Linked DNA regions of Elephas maximus indicus. The protein of the gene in region 1 purifies or fractionates together with the protein of each later gene. This does not show direct contact. Links are inferred from orthologs where the notes say so. Each region holds a gene or a part of one and is shown on either strand. Other genes may lie near its edges.

Evidence for each region. Proteins that work in one complex are often made in the same cells at the same time.
Region 2: the proteins of ADRA1D (region 1) and SNTB2 purify together in Homo sapiens (tandem affinity purification; 4 studies listed by BioGRID and IntAct, with this or other methods). This does not show direct contact. The link is inferred for Elephas maximus indicus from reciprocal best matches to the Homo sapiens genes ADRA1D and SNTB2.

The regions. Positions count from the first base shown.
Region 1 is NC_064843.1:42,883,597-42,891,476, forward strand, and holds the start of ADRA1D (alpha-1D adrenergic receptor), read right to left. Parts: upstream 3,032-7,880; 5' UTR 2,455-3,031; coding exon 1,350-2,454; intron 1-1,349. UniProt on the Homo sapiens protein: This alpha-adrenergic receptor mediates its effect through the influx of extracellular calcium.
Region 2 is NC_064839.1:35,419,106-35,427,128, forward strand, and holds the start of SNTB2 (beta-2-syntrophin), read left to right. Parts: upstream 1-4,801; 5' UTR 4,802-4,846; coding exon 4,847-5,426; intron 5,427-8,023. UniProt on the Homo sapiens protein: Adapter protein that binds to and probably organizes the subcellular localization of a variety of membrane proteins. May link various receptors to the actin cytoskeleton and the dystrophin glycoprotein complex.

The DNA of each region.
Region 1 (7,880 bases):
GCCAGGGACCTAATGAGAATTAGCGGGAATGGAGGGTGCAGTGAGCAAGAGGGAGGGCAGCGAAGCCATGAGGGCAGAGGGGGGCAGCCACACTTAGCGCCTTCCGACCACTTGTTTGGGTTTGCCTGCACAGTCCTGGTTCATGCCTGTGGTCCCGGCACAAAGATTCCTAGTGCCCTATTTTGGTTTGAACAATAAATTTAAAGGTCACCATCTCATAGGCCACAGTAGAGAGTTTGGATTTTGTTTCCAGGGCAGTGGGAAGGCATTGAGGGGTTTCAGTGAGGGAGTGACAGAATCTAATTTATAATGTATAAAGGCCACTCTGGCTGCTGTGTGGAGAGGGCCTGCAGGGGAGCAGAAGCAAGGCCACTCTCCCCTTCCTGACGCAGCTGCAGCCACGCAGTGTGGGGCCTGTGGGGCGCAGGGAGGCCCCGGCTTGAGCTGGCTGAGGTTGCAGCCATGGGTGAAGTGACCCTGGAGATGCAAACGTGTCTCCAGTGATGCTGTTTTCCCCTTCTCCTCACTGTGCTGGCCCAGATTTAAGACCCACATGAGGGGCCTCCAGGGGTGGTGGAAGCCCCTGCCTGACTCCCAGGACTGCAGGGCAGCTCCTGGAAGAAAGAGGAAAGTTCCTCAGTGGAGCTAAAGGACTCGACCAATAAAAGAAATGACAATTCGCAACATTAACTTCCCATGTGATAAACCGCCTCCATTCTTTTCCTTCTCATCCTCACCGGCCCCCATCTCCAAGAGATTTCAGAAGTGAGATCCAAGGGCATTCACAAACACCAGCTGGGGAGGGTGGAGGAACGAGGCCAGCTTCCAAACCGAATGTGTGCTGGGGGAAAGCAGGTGGCTTCTGGTGTCTGCGGATGTACATGATGGTTGGCAAGGGCTTGGTGAATAGAGAGTCTGCCCACTCTCTGCTCCTGTCTCGGGCTCTGCCATTTGTATCTGGGCAGGGTTTGCATGTATGCAGGTGAGCACACACACTGACCACATACTATGGGCAGAATCCACAGATTTCCACGCACCTTTGATTTTTTTTTTTTGATATTTAGAGGGGCCGGGAGGGTAAAACACGCCCAGGGCTTGTAACAGCAACGAGGCAGGGAAGGCCAGGAAAGTAAAAAGCCTGCGAAAGAAAACTCACAAGCGTGAAGAGCCTCTCACCCTCTGTCTACACAGTGGTGCACGCACCCCTGCTTCAGGGAAGCTACTGAATCAACCTTCTATGTTAAGGCGGAGAGTCGAGGGTCACCCAAGTCGGGGGAGGAGAGTGAGGAGGACAAAGCCACAGTCTCAAGGGAGGGAGAGGAGGGGCTGGTGGGTAAGGGGTCACTCACCAAGAGGAAGGACGAAGAAGAAGGGGAACCAGCAGAGCACGAAGACTCCCACAACGATGGCCAGGGTCTTGGCCGCCTTCTTCTCGCGGGAGAACTTGAGCAGGCGCACAGAGAAGGAGCTGCGGAAGTTGTGGCCCTTGGCGCTCCGCGTCCCGTGCGCCCGGTCGGTACCTGTGCCCGCACCGCGACAGTGGATACGCAGCACCACGTCCGAGGCCTTGCCCCGCTCGAGCTTGATGCCCGCCTCGAGGCTCCGCGTGGTGCTGCGCGCGACCACGTACACGCGGCAGTACATGACCACGATGACGGCCATGGGCAGGTAGAAGGAGCACACGGAGGAGAAGACGGCGTAGCCCGCCTCCTCCGTGATGCCGCAGAAGCGCTCATCTGTGGGCACGGGCTCCTTCCAGCCAAGCAGCGGCCCCACGGACACCACGAGGGCTACGACCCAAAGCAGCGCCAGGATGGCGGCCGCCTTGCGCTCCGTCATGATGGCCGGGTACTTGAGCGAGTGGCGCACGCCCACGTACCGGTCCACCGAGATGGTGCAGAGGCTGAGGATGGAAGCGGTGCAGCACAGTACGTCCACCGCGGCCCACACGTCGCAGAAGGCGCGGCCGAAGGCCCAGAAGCCCAGGACCTCCATGGTGGCAGAGAAAGGCAGCACCGTGGTGCTCAGCAGCAGGTCGGCCACGGCCAGGTTGACGATGAAGTAGTTAGTGACTGTCTGCAGGTGGCGGTTGCAGGCCACCGAGAGGATGACAAGCAGGTTGCCCGCCACAGCGGTGAGGATGAACGCGGCCAGAAAGACGCCCACGCCCAAGCCCTGCGCGCTCACCACGAGCCCCCCGACGGCCGCCGTGCTGTTCACCTCGCCGTTCGCACCCCCAGGCTCCCCGGCGGAGCTGCCATTGTCCTCGCTGCCGCCCGCGCCCACCACGCCGCCGCCGCCGCCCGCGACCCCCGGCACGCCCCCCACCGCCGGGCCCTCCGAGGCGGCCGAGCCGCCCGCGCTGCCCGAGCCGGCACCTGAGCCGGCAGCCCCGGAGCCGCTGTCCGGGCGAGGTCCCTCGAAACTGACGCTCAGGAGATCGCGGAAAGTCATCTCAACGCGCGGCCGTCGGAGGCCAGGCCCGGGGGCTGGGCGTGCTGCTGCCAGGGAGGGAGGCACCGAGCATAGCCGCAGGGCTCCGATCCAGCGGCACGCGCCGGCTCCGTCGGGGACCGGTCCAAGTTCCTGGGACGCCGGGCGCGGCTGCTCCGAGCGGAGCGGGGCCGGCCGGGACGGCGACCGGGCTCCCCAAGGCCAGCCGCAGAATCGGACCCAGAAGCCGGGCCGGCGACTCGCGCGGCTCTCCGAGCGCGCCCAGGCGAGTGGGCAGAGCAGCAGCTCCGGGCCGGGCGGTGCAGGCGGCAGCCACTGCGGCGCTTCCAACTGGGCGCGGGGGGCAGGACGGAGGAGGGGCAGCGCCTGCAGGGAGGAGGGGGCGGCCGGCGCCGAGGGAGGGGACGCTGCGCTCCCGAGAGAAGGGGCTCTGCGCGCCGGCCGAGCAGCCGTGCCGGGGTCCGGATGGGCCGCGGCGCTAGCGCGCGCTCGGGGCCGGTATAGCCGTCCCTGCCTCTCCGCGGGTGCGCCCGCCAGTCCTCTTCTCTCGCGCCCCCTCCTGTCTCCCTCTCTTGCCTCTCCGTGACCCCTCCCCCCTTCCCTCAGCTGCGTCCCGCTTCCTCCCGCCCTCTCTCCGGCCTCTCGGTCACTCGTTGGTGCCCTTGGGGGCGCGGAGCGGAGAAGGCACGACTCCCGGGTCCCCGGGCTCCCAGCTCCGGCCGCCAGAGAGCAGCAACCGCCCGGGATCTGCGGACTGCGGACAGGAGCGCGCAGTGCCTTGGCGGGTCGCCTCCTGGGGCTGCCTGGATGATCTGCGGCACCTCCTCCCCTCAGGCTGCCAGCCAGGGGAGGGTCCCAAACGTCTCTGCCCAGTGCGGTGGTGTGGAGAGAGCCTCGGAAGGAATCAGACGCCCGAGCTGGGCTGACCCTAGGTATGACGGACGCAGGAACCAGAGACTTTACGGTTATAGCCTTCGAAACTCTGCTTATGACACATCGGCCTGCAGCCGCCAATGTCTGCACTGTTGCTTCACTCCACGCCGGATGTCAGAATAAACCTTTCCGCTGCAGCACCCAGACAAGTGGTCTTCTTGGGGAGGGGGGCGGTTAGGTGCTGGCGGGTGGGGAAAGGCCACTTGGTGGGATGGTTAAGAGGGTGAGGAGAACCGGCTGGGTCCAAATCCAGGCCCGACCCCATATAGCTGCTTAATCTCCTTGTACCTCGGCTCCTCATCTGCAAAATGAAGATTAATAGTAGTGCCTACCTGGTGGGGGAAACCCTGGTGGTGTAGTGGTTAAGAGTGCCGGCTGCAAACTACACAGGCCGGCAGTTCGAATCCAGTGGGTGCTCCTTGGAAACTCTATGGGGCAGTTCTAGTTTGTCCTGTAGGGTTGCTATGAGTTGGAATCGACTTGACAGCAACGGGGTTTGGTTTGGTTTTACCTTGTGGATTTGTTGTGAGGGTTAGGTGAACTAATACTTGTTATGCCCCCAAAGCAGTGGCTGGGATTGTTAGATGAGCTCGGCTCAGCAGGGCAGGATTAGAAGAGGGAGAACAGAGGGCAGAGGGATGTGGAGCTGGTATAAGTGGGGACACCCACAGGGAGGAGGGGAGGAGGGTGTGAGGAGACTCTTGCTGACTAGCAGAACAGGTAGGGAGAGGTGAAAAGAGACCATTCACTTAAACAACAAGGAGCTGTCCTCAGGTGTCAGGCATCATGCTGGGCACCTGGGTGGGTGAGAGAGTGGTGGCGGGGAAGGACCTGCAGGGAGGATCACACCACCGTGTAGGCGTAGGTTGAGGCAGACTTGACCCATGCCTGGGAGATGAGGGCCTGTTTGGAGCTGTGTCTGGGAGGGGAGAAGTATTCACAGACTGGGCAGGATGTCTCAGAGTCCTGGAGAAGAAGGTGTTTGGAGAAGAATTAGAAGATGAGAGAAATGTTGAGAGATGGGTACCCTTCCCCTGCCCCCAAGGAAGCCAAACCTGTTAATAGCTTAGAAACACCTCTGCCAGGCCCTCCACTTCCCCATTAAATATTTCACTTGGGTCTTTGGGAACTTGCCGTGGCAAATTGAAATGAAAGTAAAGTAGATCTTAAGGGTCAGCTGGTAGCTGACTAAACACAAAACCTTGGGTTTGGGCTTCCTCGTGGAAGAGGAGGGGCAGAGGGCACTGAAAGGGGAGGTCAGGAGCTCCTCACAGGAGCCCGCTGGCTGGCAGGCTCTGTGCCCATGACTGCGTGCCATCTTGCAAGGATAAGCTTGGCAGGTCCATCCGACTCTGGGCTTGGTCAGACTTCAAGGAAGACTGGGAGAAGGACGTATTTTTAACCCTAAGGCCGAGGCTGGGGTGGTAGGGAGCTATTTGGCAGGTGTCACAGAGCTCTGTGCCTGATTCTGACCCAGAGGACCAGCAGAAGGCTGGCTGCAGATGTACTTGCCAGCAGGGTGAGGAGAGTTGTGGGATAGTGTGACTGAAAGAAGGTAGGACAGTCTCACTCTGTCTCGGGTCTTGGTGATTCTGAGATCTGCAAGAGGATTCCTGAGGCTCTAGAGCTCTAGGTGAAGGAACCTGGAGGTCTATGGAGGAGCAGGAGTTGTGAGATTGTCCTGGGGTTTCATGTACAGGCTTCTCAGATGCTCAAATCAGAGAAGGGATTGGGAGCATGTACTGCTGGCAGCAGGGAAGGATTACACCATAACCAAGTTAAGCGAGTGTTTAGGGCATCAACAAAACAGGGGCACCAGTTATTCAAAGCAAACAGCTATAGATGCCAAGCAGACAGGACACAAGGAAAAGTGAGTGACACAGTGGAAGGGAACTGACAGGGCATTAAATGAGACTGGCACCAGTTCCAGTGTGTGAGAATGCGCCGGGTGAAAATAAAGTTTATGAAGGGTGCCCACACGCAAGGTTGTTTAAGCTATGAGGCCCCTACCACTTCAACACCTTCATTGACATCTGTCTCCTACAGTCCCCTCTCATGTAATTGAAACTCCTTATCTTGGTGAGTCTCTTGGGAGTGTATTATTTTTTTCTAATAAACAAGAGGTAGGTTTTAACTCTTGCTACATTCACCCAGTATGCAACTGGATTCAGCATGAGCAGTTACTAGGCAAGGATGGATTATATTAATAGACAACAGGTTTCTGATCCATTTTTAGAGAACCGTCTCCTACAGCCATGCCCTCTGATCCAGCAACTGCAGTCAAGAGGGCCAGCACTGCTCTTCGCCATGATAAAAACACAAGGGTATGCTCTTACGCTCTTATGTACATCCTGGTAAACAACGCTATGGGAACTCCAGTCCCAGATGACGTGCAAAAGCGAGGAAACTCGAATAAGTCGACCGTTGCAATTAATTCAATCAAGTTACTTTTTAGCTGTGTAGCATTTATGTACAGAGTTACGTCCTAAGTTTTGTAAACAATAATATTTTTAACTTGAACTTTAAGAATATGTTTGGCATACATGTGGACTCAATCTAGCATAGATTTAATATAATACTAACATGGGTAATAATTTAATATCATACCAACATAGCAAACATCCAAAAATACTGAAAATATCAATATTTATCTAACACAAAAAGTTTTAATTTATGTATCAAGTGAGTTTCATTTTTTATTGTCCGTTGCACAAGACACTGCTTGATATTACTCTATGTGTGAAAAAACTCTATAAAAAAAAAATGAGGTGATAGGCACGTTAAGGGGATGAAAAATTGAATATTTATTTATCGGGCAAAATATGTTTCTTTTTTGCAACAATGAGTGTGTTTTTATATTCGTCTTCCAAAAAAGCAACAAAGGGCGTGTATCAGAACATTACATTTATATTTTATCAGCGTATTTATGTATCTCTGGGTAAGGGAATTGAACAATTTCTCAAGGAAATAAACTCAATGAATATTTGTTATTGTTAGGTGCCGTTAAGTCTGTTCCGACTCATAGTGACCCTATGCACAACAGAACGAAACACTGCCCAGTCCTGCACCATCCTCACCATCATTGTTCTGCTTGAGCCCATTGTTGCAGCCACCGTGTCAATTCGTCTCCTTGAGAGTCTTCCTCTTTTTTGCTGACCCTCTACTTTACCAAGCATGATGTCCTTCTCCAGGGACTGGTCCCTCCTGATAATATGTCCAAAGTATGTGAGAGGTAATCTCACCATCCTTGCTTCCAAGGAACATTCTGGTTGTACTTCTTCCAAGACAGATTTGTACATTCTTATGGCAGTCCCTGGTATATTTAAAATTCTTCGCCGACACCACAATTCAAAGGCATCAATTCTTCCTTATTCATCGACCAGCTTTCACATGCATAGGAGGCAATTGGAAACACCAGGGCTTCGGTCAGATGCACCTTAGTCTTCAAGGTGACATCTTTGCTTTTTAACACTTGAAGGAGATCTTTTGCAGCAGATTTGCCCAATGCAATGCATCTTGTGATTCCTTGACTGCTGCTTCCATGGGTGTTGATTGTGGATCCAAGTAAAGTGAAATCCTTGACAACTTCAATTTTTCTCCATTTATCGTGATATTGCTTATTGGTCCAGTTGTGAAGATTTTTGTTTTCTTTATGTTCAAGTGCAATCCATACTGAAGGCTGTGGTCTTTGATCTTCATCAGAAAGTGCTTCAAGTCCTCTTCAGTTTCAGCAAGCAAGGTTGTGTCATCTGTATAATACAGGTTGTTAATGAGTCTTCCTCCAATCCTGAAGCCCCGTTCTTCATATAGTGCAGCTTCTCGGATTGTTTACTTAGCACAGAGATTGAATAAGTATGTGAAAGGATACAGCCCTGATGCACACCTTTCCTGACTTTAAACCACACAGTATTCCCTTGTTCTGTTCAAATGACTACCTCTTGATCCATGTATGGGTTCCTCATGAGCACAATTAAGTGTTCCAGAATTCCCATTCTTCGCAACGTTATCCATAATTTGTTATGATCCACACAGTCAAATGCCTTTGCGTAGTCAATAAAACACAGGCAAACATCTTTCTGGCATTCTCTGCTTTCAGCCAAGATTCGTCTAACATTAGCAATGTTATCTCCACTTCCATGTCCTCTTCTGAATCCTGCTTGAATTTCTGGCAGTTCCCTTCCAATATATTGCTGCTGCCACTTTTGAATGGTCTCCAGCAAAATTTTACTTGTGTGTAATATTAATGATATTGTTTGATAATTTCCACATTTGATTGGATCACCTTTCTTTGGAATAGAAATAAATATGGATCTCTTCTAGTCAGTTGGCCAGGTAGCTGTCCTCCAAATTTCTTGGCAGAGATGAGTGAGCACCTCTAGCACCGCATCTGTTGGTTGAAACATCTCAGTTGGTATTCCATCAATTCCTGGAGCCTTGTTTTTCGCCAGTGACTTCAGTGCAGCTTGGACTTCTTCCTTCAATGCCATTGGTTC
Region 2 (8,023 bases), on another chromosome or scaffold:
ATTGGAAATGGAGGAAAATGAAGCTGAAGGGGCTGGCAGGACCTACCATTCTGCTGAGATTATGCTTGTCTCAAAATCAGAAAAGCTGGCCTCAGAAGGGTGACAGCTTCCCTAGGTGATAGTGACAGAACCAGGAGAACCACGTGAGATTCATAGAAAAGCTAAGAGTAGAGCAGTTTCCATAGAGGGAAGCTAAGTGGTTTAGAAAATTGTACAGAAAAGATAAGTAGATTTGGATATAGAGCCCTTAAGTCAACGTGTAGTGAGAGACAGAACCAGTTAGAGGTGGGCCTTGAAGTCTGTAGTTAAGAATTCTCATTCAGTGGAACACATAGTTGTGAGTCATTCACAGATCCAAAGTAAAAATGATTGTATACATAAGGGGCAGAAAAGACTGGATGTTGGGGAGGCCAAAAAACAAGCTATTGTGTAGGTTCTTGACAGGGTCCATTGATGGGTGTCAGGGGCTTTGTGAGCCCCCAAGGTTGAATGCATGTGAGTGTGCATTTGTCTGAGGAGAGCATCCACCACATACAGCTGATTCCCAGAGAAGTTCATGATCACCCAAATTGGCTATTGCATTAACCTACTCAGGAGAGATTGTGTAATTTCTGTGCCTGTCAAGAAAAAACACTGGTGATTTTCCATAGCTAAGTGAATTCAGTGAAACTAACCTTCTGCTTAGTATGTCCTTGCTAATATTTTCCTAAAAAGAAAGTCACAACGCTACAAAACTGTCACCAGCTGCTTCTCATTAGGAATGTGGTTAGCAGATGTGGTTTGTCATAGTCATAATGCATGAGATAGTTAATCCATTTTTGAGGATTTCAGATGGATAGTGATTTATCTTGGCGGGATGAATTTCTAAAAATGTGTTTGCATCAGCTAAAGGATAAATGCAACTTTTCCTCTTTCACTTCATGTTTGATGCTGGAGAAAAAATAGATTTTAGGGTATTTCTCCCTGAAGGCAAAGTTGTACTGTCCATTGAAAGGGACAGCTGATTTCAGTGTCTTCTAATTGAAGAACAGTTATACGTGGGTAATTTTTCAAAGTTGGGTATTGGCTATTTCACAGCTTATTTCTCCCTTTAGCCTCTTCTTTAATAGTAATTGAGTGGCTCTTGGTTTTTTTTCCTCTGGCATCTAGCCGCCTTTGTGGTAGTGACCTTCAGGCTTTTTCAAGGCTGCTATTTTGCCTGGGGCCCTCCTTCCTTACGAAATTACACAACACTCAAACCTTGGAACTAGCCCCAGACCCACTAATTCTTTCCTTTGGCGGACTCTTGGCAATATATATTCCCTTTCAGTTGAAGTGTAGCTTTATATGAGATCTGTTTGTCACTGAAATTAATTTGGCTCTTTGCCCTTTAATCCTGGAATCAAATGGCATTATGGCAGACTCAATCCTAGGTAAAGTGTAGACTCTCAAGAGTTTCTACCAAAGGTTTTATTGTCGCTACTGCTGAAGGTCGATAGGTAATAACAGCAACAGATACTTTTTATATGGCTGCCACTGTGGTAAGCACTTTGAATCCTCATCAACCCACTCAACCCTCACAACCACCCTTAGAGACAAGTTATCTGAATTTTTCCCAAGAAGAGACTAGGCCTATGACCTCAGCCTCTTGCCCATTGTCATATATTTGGTAAATGGCCAAACCACAATTTGAACCTTGTGCTCTTATTTACCATGCTATACTCTACATCCACTATGAGGGAGATGAAAAAAGGCCGCTCTTCCCACCTTCCCCTCAAACCATAGGGTTTAAGGAGGCATAGAATCAGAGCCTGAGTCACAGATTGTAAAATGAAATTATGGAACTGACAGAGTGAATCTAACTCCCTCATTTTAAATAGCAACGATCCCTGCCTCATTCTGAGAAATAGTAAGACAACAGTTTGAGCAGAGGAGAATAGATGTTGATAGGTGACAGGAATGAAAAGTTATTAAGAATGAACTCAGCCATTTGCTTTTTTCAGAGGTAGATAAAATAGCGTGCCTGTTTAAAGAATTTTCTGAGCTTGTCTCACTGTCCTCAAGAAACTGTGGAAACAGAGATGTACTCTTTACTTCAGATGTCATTATTCACAATAAGCGGATACTTCACTACTTGAGATTTCCTAGATGGTAATTTTCACTCTGCAAGGAACCAATAACCTTCAGAGGCGTTATTTGAAGATACTACATCACAAGAGGCACTCAATTTCAATCATTCACATGTTTAATGAGTTCCTTCTGTATGAGACAATATGCTTGGAATAGTGGGGTATAAAAATAAGTCAATGGGTGGTCCCTGCCCTCCTGTAGTTTATAATTTATTTGGGCACATGGGCCAGGCATAGGGGAAAAAATCATTCAAAGGAAAAATCCCAACCAACTGAGTAGTCAGGGAAAGCTGGGATGAGATCTTGCTATGAGGGAAAGAGGTCCAAGGGGACAAGAGATGTTTGGAAGATTCAGGCTGCAATGTGAAAAGGCATTGGGGAACACTGATTGGGTGGTGAGTTTGGCAAATCTGAAAGTAGTAATGACAATGTTGAAAAGTTAATTTGGGTTCTGTTGGAGGGTCTTATACCTTGGGAGTTGTATGGATAAGTTAAAAACATTTTTAAGGAAAAATCTCCATGTAATCCAAAAAGCAATCTCCATAACCTTCCTATCTACTCCCAAGGTTAAATATTTTGTTTTATAACTGGCTATCTTATATAAGTGCCCTCACTTACTTTTAGTTGGATGATCTATGACTTCCTCCAATTCTATTGACCAAAAAGGTCTTGATACTCTTGGAAAGAATTTCCAGCACTTCCCTTTGCTAATAAAGGCGTCCTCAAGTGCCCATCCCCTGGGTGATTACGTATGCAAGAGTTAAAAATAGTGCTCAGACTCTAAGGAATCAGGTGCCAAGCGTTCTCTATTAAGCAGAAATTTCACATAACTCAGGCCTCCGGGGACTCATGCCTCAACTGGAGCAGAGCCAGAAGTGTCTGTGACTGCAGGTGCACTTGGGCACATCAGGACCTGCTGGAACAGTAAGCTGGCCTCACTGCAATTGATTTTAGGAGAGGGCTGGAGGGTTGAGCTTTTGCTGACATTTGCAGCTTGGAAAATCCTACCCCCCTAATTCCAAAAAGGATTCTGCTCTAATGATTTTTCGGGAAGATACTTTTCTCATTTTGGATTCTTTCTTCAGTTGGGCTCTGGGTGCTTCCCAGCCTCTATTTTTGTTGTTTTAATTCCTGGTATGTGAGGTTTTTTGGAAGCTTCTGCCCACATATGAATGTGCATTTATAGAGTGGTGCATGAACACAGCTTATGAGCCTCAGCATGCACTTCATGAACAAGCAGGTGTACAGCCCCTTTTATAGAAATTGGTGCACACTCCCTCTGCTTACCTCTACTTCTTGAAATGAAAATGTGGGGTTTCACTTTTGATGCTGAAGGAAAGTTAGAGGGCACCTTGACCCCATGTTTTTAATGAAAGCTCTCTTTCTCAGCTGTGTGATTTCTGGGCTCTCATTTTTAATAGTCCAGGTATATAGTGAAAACACTGGACCAAGAGGCTGGGAGGCCTGAGTTGTGGTCTGTACTTCCTCACTGGGGACTTTGGACCAGAGTTTTTGGCTCTCTGGGCCTCAGTTTCTTCAGCTTTTTAGCCTATGAAGCTGGAAGAGCCTGTGGATTGAATCATTCGTGTCTTTGGATACAAGCGGTTGCAGGCTCTGCAGCGTGCACAGTAGTGGTTGTGGCTTTTGTCCCTGGAATGTCTGTGAATTGAATGGAAGCCAAAACTTACCTTGGAACTCTGGTGGCACAGTGGTTAAGTGCTACAGCTACCAACCAAAAGATTGTGAGTTTGAATCCACCAGTTGCTCCTTGGAAACTCTGAAAACTTAAGAGACCAAATTTTGCATAGTTTCTGAGGATGCCCATCTACACTTTCCCCAGCAGAAGGCCATGGCCCCGAGGCTAAGAAAGTCAGATCTACAAAGTCAAGTCCAAACTCTTCGTTGTTAGATTATATGAGGCTTTTCACGCTCACGCTCTCACCTCCACTGACTTCATATTGGAATCACGGCTTCTTAAATAACCACCATTCTGCAAATATCTTTGAGGCCTACCTATTGTGGCTACTGGGCTGAAGAAGACATGGCACCTTCTTGCATTACAGGCAAGTAAACTGGTAATTGCAAAGCAGAGTAACAAATGTTTAGGTTCCTGCCTCTGGACCTTTGGTAATTTTCCTCATGCTTGAGGGTTCATTCTCCATTGTCACCTCTGTGACGCCTACCCCAGGCTGAACCAAATGTTCCTTCCACTCTGCTCTTGGGGCGTTTCCTACATGTCACTAACCACATACTATCGCAACTAGCTGGTTGGTTATGGGTCTTCCTCTCCTCCTAGACCGCGAGCTGTCAGCTGTGGTATGTTTTATTCAGCTTATCTCCTGGACCTCAGAAGGTGTCCACGCACAGGGCGGAGCTATCAGTAAATACGGAATGAACCAATCAACGCAAGAATAAACATGCGACTCAGACCTTACAGGCTTACAAAGTACTTCTCGAAGCTGATGTTGCTTTCTGTGCCCAGGCAGCTCCTGGGGACTGCACGGTAGAGCTCAGGGGTTGAGGGGCGCTCGGGCTGGCTGCCCACGTCCGGTGAAGGGCAAGGGACCGGATTCCCGGCAACTTCTCACCTTCCGGAAGCAGCTCCGCCGGCCTCTCTCCGCCCCCACCCCGGAAGGTGGGCGTGGCCTCTCATGAATAATGAATCACCCCGGGCGGGGGAGGGGCCGGACCCGCCCCCTCGGGCGGGAAGGGGGAAGCGCCAAGGCTGCCTGACTGGAATGAGGGTAGCTGCGGCGACTGCGGCGGCGGGAGCGGGGCCGGCCATGGCGGTGTGGACGCGGGCCACCAAAGCGGGGCTGGTGGAGCTGCTGCTGAGAGAGCGCTGGGTCCGGGTGGTGGCCGAGCTGAGCGGCGAGAGCCTGAGCCTGACGGGCGACGCCGCGGCGGCCGAGTCCGAGCCCGCTCTGGGGCCGGCGGCGGCCGACTTCAACGGCCTCCCGAACGGCGGCGGAGCCGGCGACTCGCTGCCCGGGAGCCCGAGCCGCGGCCTGGGCCCCCCGAGCCCGCCGGCGCCGCCACGGGGCTCGGCGGGCGAGGCGGGCGCGTCGCCGCCCGTGCGCCGGGTGCGAGTGGTGAAGCAGGAGGCGGGCGGCCTGGGCATCAGCATCAAGGGCGGCCGCGAAAACCGGATGCCGATCCTCATCTCCAAGATCTTCCCGGGGCTGGCGGCCGACCAGAGCCGGGCGCTGCGGCTGGGCGACGCCATCCTGTCGGTGAACGGCACTGACCTGCGCCAAGCCACCCACGACCAGGCCGTGCAGGCGCTGAAGCGCGCGGGCAAGGAGGTGCTGCTGGAGGGTGAGCGGGGCCGGGCGGGCGGGACGCGGCGGCAGTCGGGCTCCTGGGCGCGCACTTTGTTTCTGCCACCCTGCGCCCTTGGCGGGGCGAGCTTGTTCCCTCCCCCGGGGCCTGCTTTCCTTCCCCTCGGCTTGTGGCCGGTCTCTACCACACCCCGTCTTCTGAGGGTTTGAATGTGGAAAAGCTGATGCTCCTTGCAGGAAAAGTTGGGCAGACGCCGAAGTGTGGCGTGCAGTCTCTAAGGGTAGACTCGGCTGCGTTTTAGTAAAAAGCTGCCGCGTCTGAAGCTCCCCCCTCTGCGCGATAAGCTGCCGCTAAGAGCTGAGGGAGCCCGAACAGCTCGCGTTTGCCTGCTGAGAAGTACCGAGGTGGCTCGCTCTTCACTCACCTCTGGCTCCCCCGGGCGGGCGGGTCTATAAAAAAAATCCATCCACACTGATACTTGGGCAAACCACCAAAAAGGCTGGTTAATGTATGGGAATTTAACCCATCGTTGGCTCTCAACAATAACCTAAGGCGATCGTAGCACTTCATTGAAGCCAGAACGCTGAAACAGCAAGTTTGGTGTGGTTAACGAGCCTTGTTTAACAGTGGAGGCTCACGTGTTTGAACAGTGACTGCCAAACAGAGTTTTGTCCCTTTTGCAAGAGGCTGGTGCCAGCTCCCTATCACTCACAAGCATGCTGCTTTAAGACTATGAAGCTTTTTATGAGCGACTTGAAATGGTAAATCACAAGATATATTTGAATGGCCCGGATTATTCTTTACCTTGATTATACGTGTAGGTCTGTAACCTGGGGCTTTTATGATGAATTGATGGAACTATGGCAGAATTAAATCTCATCTTTTATAAGGACCTATGCATAGTGGAGATGATAAGAGTATTGTAAATGTGATTTGAAAACCCAGTTACTTAAATTTTTGAACAATTGGCTTTGTTTCACTTGTGATTCAGTCATTGAAGAAGCACTTATTGCCACCCCTGTAGAAGCGAATATGAAAGTAGAAGATGCTGTCTCTACATGGTCCCTGGTTGGGGAAATGATAGAAACATGAAAAACAATTTACAGTGAGGAAAAAAAACTAAGTTCTTGATTGTGTAGTGCAAACTACATATAAATCCCAAACCAAAACCCATTGCCATCAAATCAATTCCGACTCATAGCGACCCTACAGGACACGGTAGAACTGCCCCATAGAGTTTCCAAGGAGCATCTGGTGGATTTGAACTGCCGACCTTTTGGTTAGCAGCCATAGCGCTCAACCACTATGCCACAAGGGTTTCCATATAAATCCCAGGGGGATGCAAAATTAGAAAGTAGTGGAAATGGGAACTAGTGAGGGAGGTCTTCATCAAGGAGCTGAATCTTGAGCCAGGTCTCCAAGGAAGCAATGGACTTAGGCAGAGATGAGTCAGGATGGTATTCCTGGCAGAGGAAGAACAGAAGAGAAAGGATGAGGTGGGGCGGAAGCAATCAGACTGAGAGGCTAGGAGTCCAGCTTGGTAAAATGATTTTCACTCTTTTCCAAATCTGTGTGTGACTATTTGAGACAGTATTAGTTTGCAAGTAAGTGATTTAATATATTCCAGTTGTGAAATTTAAGTGTCCTACCTTTATAATATTCTATTTATAAATCCTATTTATATCCTACTTATTAGGTGGGGCTAAAAGAAATTTAAAAATTAGTGTTAATAAAAGGGATAAAAGCACAGATTGTGACTTGAGCAGTGTGTGAAAAAATTTTTTAATCTTAAATGAGTACCTTGAAATTGGTCAAGGTAAACATTTGGTTATAAATTCTTAGAGGCAGAATACTGAATTTAGTACTATTTATACTGAGTGGTGATGAGCAGTTAAACCCTTCATACCATACTTTTAAAAAACAAAAAATAGTTTTTGCTTATAGTTTGAACCTGGTATTCATACCAGTAAAATGAAAAGTATTTAGTAAATGTTACCTGGTATTCATTAACCTAAAATAGGCACATGTACTTTTAGAAAGAGGGTTTACAAATGGCAGTGTAATAATATATTTACTAAATGCCTCTTTATCAAACACACAAGTTCTACTTTATTTTCCCATTTGGTAAAAGACAAGCAGTTTTTGTCCTTATAGGTGTAGGGAATATGGTAGGTTTATGGCATTGCATTTTTAAGCCAAGGGGAATCAAAAATAAAAGTACTCAAAATATGCAAAATCACTGAGAACAGTATTTTAATTAAAACAAACAATATTTAAAATCAAGAGTTGGTGTTCCATCCACTTTTAAAAAGATAAATTTAATGCTTGACCCTTAAAGTTTCCAAACCCCATTGTCCTCTTACTAGATGTCTCAAAACTTGGAAAACTGCCTTAACATACAGTGGTGCTCTTTTGTGGTATGGGCAGGGAATTCCAGGCATGCCCTTGCCACCTCCATGCCAAGGAAAACTGTAGTCTCTGGTCCTTTTTTTTTAAAAGAACCTTTTTTTAAAAGGGACCTATTTTATCTGAAGGATATGTTGAGGTTGTTCATTCACTAATTCATTACACATTTATTCAACATCTACCATGTCCCAGGGTTTATAGGATTTTTTCATTGGCTAGGTTTTGGA